2 linked regions of the Coturnix japonica genome follow. The protein of the gene in region 1 binds, or shares a complex with, the protein of each later gene. Links are inferred from orthologs where the notes say so. Each region holds a gene or a part of one and is shown in the gene's direction. Other genes may lie near its edges.

Evidence for each region.
Region 2: the proteins of NPR3 (region 1) and NPPC are in contact, whole or in part, in a crystal structure (PDB 1JDP), measured with the Homo sapiens proteins. The link is inferred for Coturnix japonica from reciprocal best matches to the Homo sapiens genes NPR3 and NPPC. Residues at the interface, in NP_001191304.1 of Homo sapiens: Asn110, Tyr138, Ala141, Pro142, Arg145, Ala161, Gly163, Phe164, His166, Glu170, Tyr171, Tyr204, Lys208, Leu209, Arg211, Tyr214, Phe215, Leu217, Glu218, His221, Glu222, Gln225, Ile233; in NP_077720.1 of Homo sapiens: Gly109, Cys110, Phe111, Gly112, Leu113, Lys114, Leu115, Asp116, Arg117, Ile118, Gly119, Ser120, Met121, Ser122, Gly123, Leu124, Gly125, Cys126.

Annotation. Positions count from the first base shown.
Region 1 is NC_029547.1:9,260,744-9,264,547, reverse strand, and holds part of NPR3 (atrial natriuretic peptide receptor 3), read left to right. Parts: intron 1-396; coding exon 397-519; intron 520-3,804. UniProt on the Homo sapiens protein: Receptor for the natriuretic peptide hormones, binding with similar affinities atrial natriuretic peptide NPPA/ANP, brain natriuretic peptide NPPB/BNP, and C-type natriuretic peptide NPPC/CNP.
Region 2 is NC_029524.1:13,423,956-13,428,509, reverse strand, and holds the start of NPPC (C-type natriuretic peptide), read left to right. Parts: upstream 1-1,539; 5' UTR 1,540-1,790; coding exon 1,791-1,883; intron 1,884-2,781; coding exon 2,782-3,084; 3' UTR 3,085-3,097; intron 3,098-3,807; 3' UTR 3,808-4,554.

The DNA of each region.
Region 1 (3,804 bases):
CATTGTATCTTATTACTTAATCTTCAGATTGTCTTATGTACACTTTGAAGTAATAACTAAGATTTATGGTTGCAATTAACTCTACAAATGTATATAATAGAAGAAATTTGAAGGCAGAATTTTTCCTGAGCTGCCGGAGTAAGAAAATTAGATAACGTGTTGATCTACTTAATTATTTTCAGAGGAGATGTGAGTAAAATTTCACTCTATGTTTGATGCCCATCTTCTGTCAGCAGTTTAGGTAATTAGCTTTGTTAGTTCTTTATGTTGTCATATTTGTTGCAACACTGAGAGGACAGCTCAGGTCACTGTCTCTGGCAGCATTCATGCTAAAGAATCTGTTCCATAAAGTTCTTGAACTCTTTCTTATCTGTGTTTTCTGTTTTCTTCCACCAGTTGTAATCATGTGTGCCAGCGGTGACACAATCAGGAACATCATGTTGGCTGCTCATCGGCAAGGAATGACCAATGGGGACTATGCTTTCTTCAATATTGAGCTCTTCAACAGCTCATCATATGGTAATGTTTTTCCTGCCCGAGTATATTACAAAGTCTTTTGTAAGCCTGGTAATACTTTTAGGTTTGTTAGTGTTAAAACATGCTGCACTGAATGCACCACCATTTCTCCATGTTTTTGCAGTTACCTTCTTTTTAGGCTATAACATTGCAGAAATTGCAACTGAATGGATTACAGGATATTGAAGAATGGTTTTAAATTAAAAGAAAGTAGATTTAGGTAAAACATGAGGAAGAAATTATTTACCTAGAGGGCCAGAAGGCCCTGGTATGGCTGCCCAGAGAAGCTGTAAATGCCTCATCTCTGAAGAAGTGAACATGGCTGGGTTGGATGAGGCTTTGGGTAGCCTAGTGTAGTGAAAGGTGTCCTTGCCCTCAAGAGGGATTCAGAACTAAAAGGTCATTAAGGTACTTTCAAAACCCAAGCCTTTCTGTGATTCTAGGAAATGCACTACAGGCATTATTGAGAGGAGGCATGAGGGCTGGCAGTGAGAATGTGCAACTGCAGGTCCAGGGTCTCCGGAAGTCACTTATATGCTAGGATTTCCATACATCCTGTTTACTTTTGATCAGAAACTGTGTGTGCAAAACCATCCAGCCCTGCTGTGTTGAATAGAAGGCACTGGTAAACAAGAGCACAGGCTGTCTAAATGTGCTAGGTTTGGATAGATAAGAGCAAATTACTTCATTTCAAATAAACGTGACAAGATGTGTCAAGTTAAATCAGCTGAAAAATTAAATATATTTGCTTTTTTAAATACACCCCTCTTCAGTTACATCTGTTGTTATGGCAGTGCATGGTAGAGACTAAACCTAATCTCAGCTGCCTTAGTTAAATGGAAGGCAGTACTGGCACAATGTGTTTACTGGCAGTTCTATAAAATGTCATATGGCTGAAGCTGAGCGAATTTTCTGTCCGGGAACCTGATTTTGTTGAAGTGTCAAAGTGGCTTTTGAACCAAGCAGCTTCTTTCGCAGGTGCAGAGAAAATATTTTTCCTCCTGCAGCCTGCCCTAGCTAATTCAGTGCAATAACAGATTCATTTCGAATTGAAAACCAGGTGGGAGTTGTAAAAGAAGGAAAACTTGTTTTCTTTCAATCCTTGAAAAGCTGATAAAGAGGAAAAAAAGACATTCACAAAAAGATGAGGTATTTTGTTTAATGAATCAGTTAATTGCAAGTTAAATTCTCTTACATAGACTTCATTATCCATCTATCACCCCTGAGATTATTTAAAGAAACGAACAGTGCTGCTTGTTGAAAAGCTTTATAATGAACATGTGTTACTGCTTAAATTCGGAGTTGTAGATATTTAAAGAAGCAAAGATAACACTACATGTGTCCTCTAAGTTGGCTAAGGAAGTGCCAAGTTCTACCAGCCAATAAGGAAATTACTTCAGTAACTAAAAGATAAATTGGCAGACCAAGATCAAAGCCAATGATTCAAGTCATGGTGGTCTGTTTGGTCTGGTTCTGACTGAAATTGAGAGTGACTTCACCCCTTGTGTCGTAAGTGAAGCATTTGTCATTGCAGCTTCAATCAGGACCAGTCTAAAAAGGTGAAGGTTTACTTATGTCAATAGTCACAAAACTGGCTTTCTGTAGACTGTGGGAGCTTTGCAGACTTGATTTCACTTCTGCCTAGACACCATTGATCATATAACCCTTCTGGCTGCTGCTAGTGCTTCTTACTGCTATGCTGCTGCTATATTTCATCTCAGAGAGTAAAATTTAATTAGAATTGATTCATCTGGCCCCAAGTACAAGTCTCCATGTGAGCTAGGCTCCCTTTAGAGTCACAGGAAAAAGTTAGGCACCCCTGGGTGGTGATTCACCTCATCCTGAAGTGTCTGAAATGGCCTGGATGAATTGCTCCTTAACACTGGTGATTTTGTTACCTTGGATGAAGCAAGCAGAGTGACTGGCTGGGGTGTAGAGGCCCTCTTGGAGCAGGAGCTTCTTGTGTAAGAGCAGCAGCTGCAGGAGGTATGCTGCTGCATTTTGTAATGTGTTTTGCATTTCAGGATGGTGTTGACTAGGAAGGAATGTTGCAAAAGCCCCTAACAGGGATGTGCCCATTTGTCTTGGAGGTCTCAGCATCCTCCTCCTTTGCATTACAGTTAGTTCAGTCTACTTATTGCTTTTCCAAGGGATAAATTACAAATATCTGCCTCCTGTCTATGTTATCAGAAATTCCCTGGTGCTTCTATGGAATAATTCTTTTAATCATTTTTTCTGTTTCTTTGTGAATTTTTCCAATGAGGAGCAAAATAACTGTTGGAAACTGACTTGAGGTGGTCATTGCACACTGGAAGCAAATGTGGTAGGGAAGTGTAGAGACATTTTCTGTGAATTCCTTGTTCCCAATGGCAGGAGGTGCTGGAATTTTAAGAGACACATGATTTAAGAGTGGATGTGACAGACGGTTGGCATTTTCTCTTTCAGCTCAGATGACTGTGTTGCAGTTTGTTGTTGCCCTCTGTTCTGAATATTTTTAATTTTTCATAAGAGCAGACGCATTTAATGCCAAGACTGCAATAATTGCAGATAAGTACTGTGGCAACACTACATCCCACAAAACAATCCATGAAGGAATTTAAATATGGAAATTATTTTAGGAACTCTGTTATGCAAGTATAACTTCTTGTTCCCAGTGTCAGTATTTTTAAAAATAAATATGTATGATGCCCAAGACAGAAATTTATTCACATTCCAACAGTGCTGTCATTTTTTAATGTGAACCCACTCTTCTTAGTAGTCTGCCTTAGCAAACCCCTCCATGTTACAATCTCTGTCATACTTTTCATGTGCTGCATCTCCGAAATGCAGGTACCCAACTGGGACAGAGGTTTTTCAGCTTTAAGACTCCAGCAAGGTTTGTGTCCCTTTCTGTATCTTCCCATTTATTTCTTTTCCAAAGGCAGTAAAAAGGACTCGGTACTGCCAAGGAAGGAAGCAGTGCTGCCACTCAGGGCAAAATCATGCTACAGGATTTTAGCTGCTGTCCAGTGTTTCCTTGCAGCCGTACAAACGGAGTCTTGATACACATAATTTTGACCCTAAACCAAGTCAAGTTTCTTGAGTTTCTTCAAAAGAGAATGAAAGAGCTGCAAAAAATAGCTGGTGGGGAAAAAAAATTACTACTCCTGACCAGTCCTTGCTGATGCTGAGCTGTGATAAGGCTTTCCTGGGGTGAAAGAGAGGCAAAAGAGCTTTCATTTAATGAGAGTATTTTTCAGGGCACAGCTGGGCTTGATCTCCATTCCCTGTGCTGTGTAATGGGATCTG
Region 2 (4,554 bases), on another chromosome or scaffold:
GGTGGTACAGTACATCCAAGGGTTAAAGGCTTCCCCATCCCACGAAGCAAAAAGATTTTGTTGCTTTTAACCCCTTCTCCATCCCTTCTTCCCCCTCCATCCCCCCACCCGAGAGCTTTTTGCTGCTGTGAAGCAGTGCGGGTGGATGTGGTCTGGTTTCGGTTAAGGGCAGGGTGATTTGAATAACAGCACTAATTGGATTTTAAAAGCACAGCCCCCAAAACTGAGGCTGCAAGCGTTGGGACAAAGCAAACATGCTCACGGGAACCCAGCAGAGCACGGTGGTGAGATCCAGCTGTGCTGTGCCATGTGCAGGATGCTCAGACATAGGGCTGCAACCCCTCATCCCACGGGGGGATCCTTCCCCATGGGGCTGAGCCCCACAAAATACAGAAGGGAACTCTGTGCCCCACGCCTGTGCGTGTGGTCACCTGGCATGGGGGGCCGGCTGTAATGCTGCCTCCATCGCCTTTATCTGCCTGCATGCAGCCGAGTGCCCGAGTGCAACTTTGCGCTCCAAAAAGCCCAAGTTGTCTCCACCTGGCAGGCACAATGGAAAAACCACCGAGACCTTCTCCTTCCAGCTCCCGGCCGCATGGAACTGAAGGGATGGTTCCCTGCGAGGCGGCCCGTGCCCAGCAGTGCAGCTGCAGGGGGGGAAACCACAGCCCCCCAAAGAGCTCGGATCCTGCTGGAGGCAGAGCAGAGCCCCGGGGAGTCCCAGAGAACAGGGAAAGCACCAGCCTGGGGAGAGCCTGGAGCTTTTCCATGGTGCCGTGGATAGGATTTGGGGGCACTGCACCACTAAGAGCATCCCTGCACTTCAGGGCGCCAGGGATGGGGTTGGTGCGGCTCTGGTGCCATGCATGGCAGCAACGGTGGTACCACAAATCCTAAGTCCTGCCCTCGGCTGCGTGCCCTGAGCTGCCACCAGCATCCAAAGCTCATCCTCCATTGCAGCCCCGGCAGCAGGTGGGAGCGCTCACAGCCACATCGCACGGGGACTGTCCTTGCAGGGCAGGGTGACACTGACCGTACCCTGCAGACGAAGCAGCTGTGACTGCCCCAGGGTGAGGGCAGCATCCCGACCCCCAGCGGGAGGGCAGGGACAGGGAGCGGGACCAGGTCTGAGCCACAGCATCCACCTGTGAGCCTGTTCCCACGTGTCCCCGTGTCACCGCCATGCAGAGCAGTGTCCCCCTCTCCTGGCAAACGGGGGTCTGAGAGTTTCATTCTGATTGAAGCCTGGATGCGGGGGGGGCGGGGAAGTGCTTTTCGCATTCATTTCTGCTTTTGGGACTTAATCCCCCTCCAGGATCCCCCTGCGGAGTGCAGCAGCCATCCCATGCCCCTCCTGGGGGTCTGCATGGATGAGGGGGCAGCAGAGGGGCTGTGGGGTGGGGGGATACGGGGTGACAGCCACCCTCGGGGGGGGGGGTTGGGGGAGCTCAGCCAAATGCCCCTCACTTTCCTCTTTGGCTCTCCAGCTCTGTGAGCCCATCGCCTTGGGCTGATGTGTCATTTGTTCCTGCCAGGGGAGAGGGGACCCCCCCTTTAAATTCCTGCTATTGTGCAGTGGGAGGCCGGGCTGGACCTGGTTGTTTAGATGACATCACCGAGCAGGTTGGGTTATAAAATGAATGAAGCAGAAAGCCCAAGTTCAGTGGCTCGGCACAGCGCGGGCGGCAGGAGGGACCTCGCGGCTCCGCGCTGAACTTTGACTCCCTCCGTCCCGGCCTCTCCCCGGGGCTCCCCGCTGCCCCCCGGCCCCATTCCCGCTGCACTGCAGGATGCAGATCTCACCCGTGCTGGCCGGAGGACTGCTGCTCGCTCTGCTCTCCGTCGGGCTGGAGGCGAAGCCGGCGTCCCAGCTCCCGCAGAAGGTAGGGCTGCCTCTGCCCCGCTGCTGAGCCCCAATAGAGTCCTTAGGGCGAGGGGATGGCGCTACGGAGTCCTCCTTCCCATTGGGTTTTGTGGGTGGTAGGAGACCACCGACCCACGTGTAGGGGAGAACTGTGGTTGGAGAGGACGCTGCGAGTCCTCACCCTGCAGGACCACAGTAAGCGGGGACACGGCTGTCCCCACGTCACCCTGCGGTGCTGGAGTCAGACCCGGGTGTAGGTGTGAGGTCGGAGCCCATGGGGGGCACCCTGTGTGTCCCTCGGGGATGGAGCGGGGATGTCCTGGAGGACACCGACACCTGTACCGGAGATACGGCACACGGAGCCGGACAGCGGGGGGGTGGGTGGGGGATGTCGGCATGGAGAGCTGGGGGGCGTGATGGGCAGGAAGGGGGTGAGCAGCAGCCGCAGACGGGACAGTGGAGGCAGTGAGGAGGACGCAGAAGTGAGAGTGCTCAGAGCGTGTTAATGAGGTGTGAGCGGCAGAGCTGGGAAAGCGGGGGACCCGGTGTTCCCCACTTTGCAGAGTGGGGTGACAGCGGCATCAGCACAGAGCGGCAGCGACCCTGCAGCTGGGGAGCGGGACCACCCCACATCGGAAGGGGCCGAGGGCTGGTGGGAGGCGGAGGGTCACGGCGACCCGTGTTTGGGGGCGCAGCCATTTGAATTGGGGGGTGCGGTGAGCCCAGTTTGGGGTGTTCCGACCCCATCTCGGGGCTGCCCTGCACACAGCCCGGGGGAGCTCCGCCCCAGCCCCGCTCCGGGCCGCACTGACCCAGCGGGGGCCGCGGGGGGCGGCGGGGGATGCTCCGCTGCGGGGTAGGGACGCGGAGCTCGGGACGCGGTGACCGCCCCGCAGTGACCGCCCGTCTCCCCGCAGGCGTCCCGCGGAGCAGCGGCGGCGGCGGCGGCGGCGGCGGGTCCGCCCGAGGCTGCGGGAGCGGAGCGGGACAAGGAGAAGGAGAAGGAGCGGAACCGCGGAGGAGGCGGCGGAGGAGGCGGCGCGGGGCCGCGGGAGGCGCGGGAGGCGCGGGCAGAGACGCGGCCCCGAGCGGGTTGGGCGCGGCTGCTGCAGGAGCCGTCGGGCCGCCGCCATAAGGGGCTGCACAAGAAGGGGCTCGGGAAGGGCTGCTTCGGCCTCAAGCTGGACCGCATCGGAGCCATGAGCGGCCTCGGCTGCTGAGGGACCCCTGGCGGTGAGTGCGCGGCGCGGCCCGAGGGCGGTGCTGGGCGCGGGGCGGGCGGGGCTGCCCCGGGGGTGGTTCCCGTGGAGCTGCGATGTGCGAGTCCGGCCGAGCCGAGCAGCGGGGGATCCGCTGAGCACAGCGGCACGGGGCGGCCATGGGCAGCGGCAATGAGCGCGGCTCCTCCGCCGTGTCGGGGACCGAGGGTGCCGCCGCTCCGCCCCGGTCCGGGCTGTGTCCGGACGCAGACACCCGGCTGTGCGACCCGCAGGTGCCGGCACCGGCTCTCGGCATCCCCGGGGCATCGCCCTGTGTCCTTAAGCTCTGCTCAGAACTTTCACCCCACGCGCCCGGCTCCGCTCAGGGCGGTTTCTCAGCCGGGTGCGAGGAGCGAAAACTTTCGGCTGGGTTGGGCCGGAGGACCCCCCGAATCCCAGCTCCGTTCTCATTCTGCTCCCGGATCCCCCCGTACCCATAAAGCTTTAGCGCGGCGGGCAGGACGAGAAAGCCGCGAGCTCCCGTCCTTGCTGGCCCCGGGGCGAGCGGTCAGCATCACCAACACACAACCCCGGCAAGAGCGGGCCGAGATTTCCCCTCGCTGTATCACAGCATCGAGCTCCGTACCCGCACCCCAAACCCGGGACATCCCGCCGGGGTCGCATCTCGGGTCAATGCTGGGCAATGCGGGGCGGGCGCTCACGGCTCTCCTTCGTTCCTCGCAGGGCACCGGAGCAGCTCCGTCGTTCCCCCAAGGGCCGGGCACGGCCGCCCCTCAGGCACCGCCTGGAAGAGCAGAGAAACCCCCCCAGGATCGGACAAAAGATGTGGCTGTGTTTTTCTTTTCGGTACGAGGAGTCACGGCACCCACCAGCTGTTTCGGTTGTTCTTTTTCCCTCCCCGTTCCCCCCCCTTAAAAGCGCTCTCTATCTTCTCTATATTATATATACAAACACTCACCGAGACAAGGGACAGTGCTTTTCTGAGAGACTGATGAAGCCGGCTGTATAACGTTGCTGTTTGTAAATTCATGTCATGCATAAATGTATTTATGTTGTAAAGCTATTTATATATTGTTTATAAAGAGATATTTATAAAGAAATTATTTATGTAACTAAAGGAGAAGTCAAGCATTGTCACGTTGCTGGGGTTGTTGTTTTTTCTTTGTCCTAAGTAGCCGGAAAAAAGGTTAAAAAGAAAGAAAAACCGTTTGGTAACATGTCTTTATTTATCAAACCCACGTCCAACTGCAACGTCGGGTTGATTGATTGGAATGGAGCCGAGAGATGGTCGGGATGCTTTAGAGAAGGCAGGAGCCGGAGGAAGGCTGTGATGGGGGAAGCTTTGATCCCTCGTGCTTTAAGTCGTGCCCAGCGCTGCTGTGCTCGGATGGAGCCAGTTCTGCCCGATGGAAGCACCTGAGCTCGCTGCCACAGCCCGGCCGGGAGGGGAGAGCAGCAGAGTGATGGCAC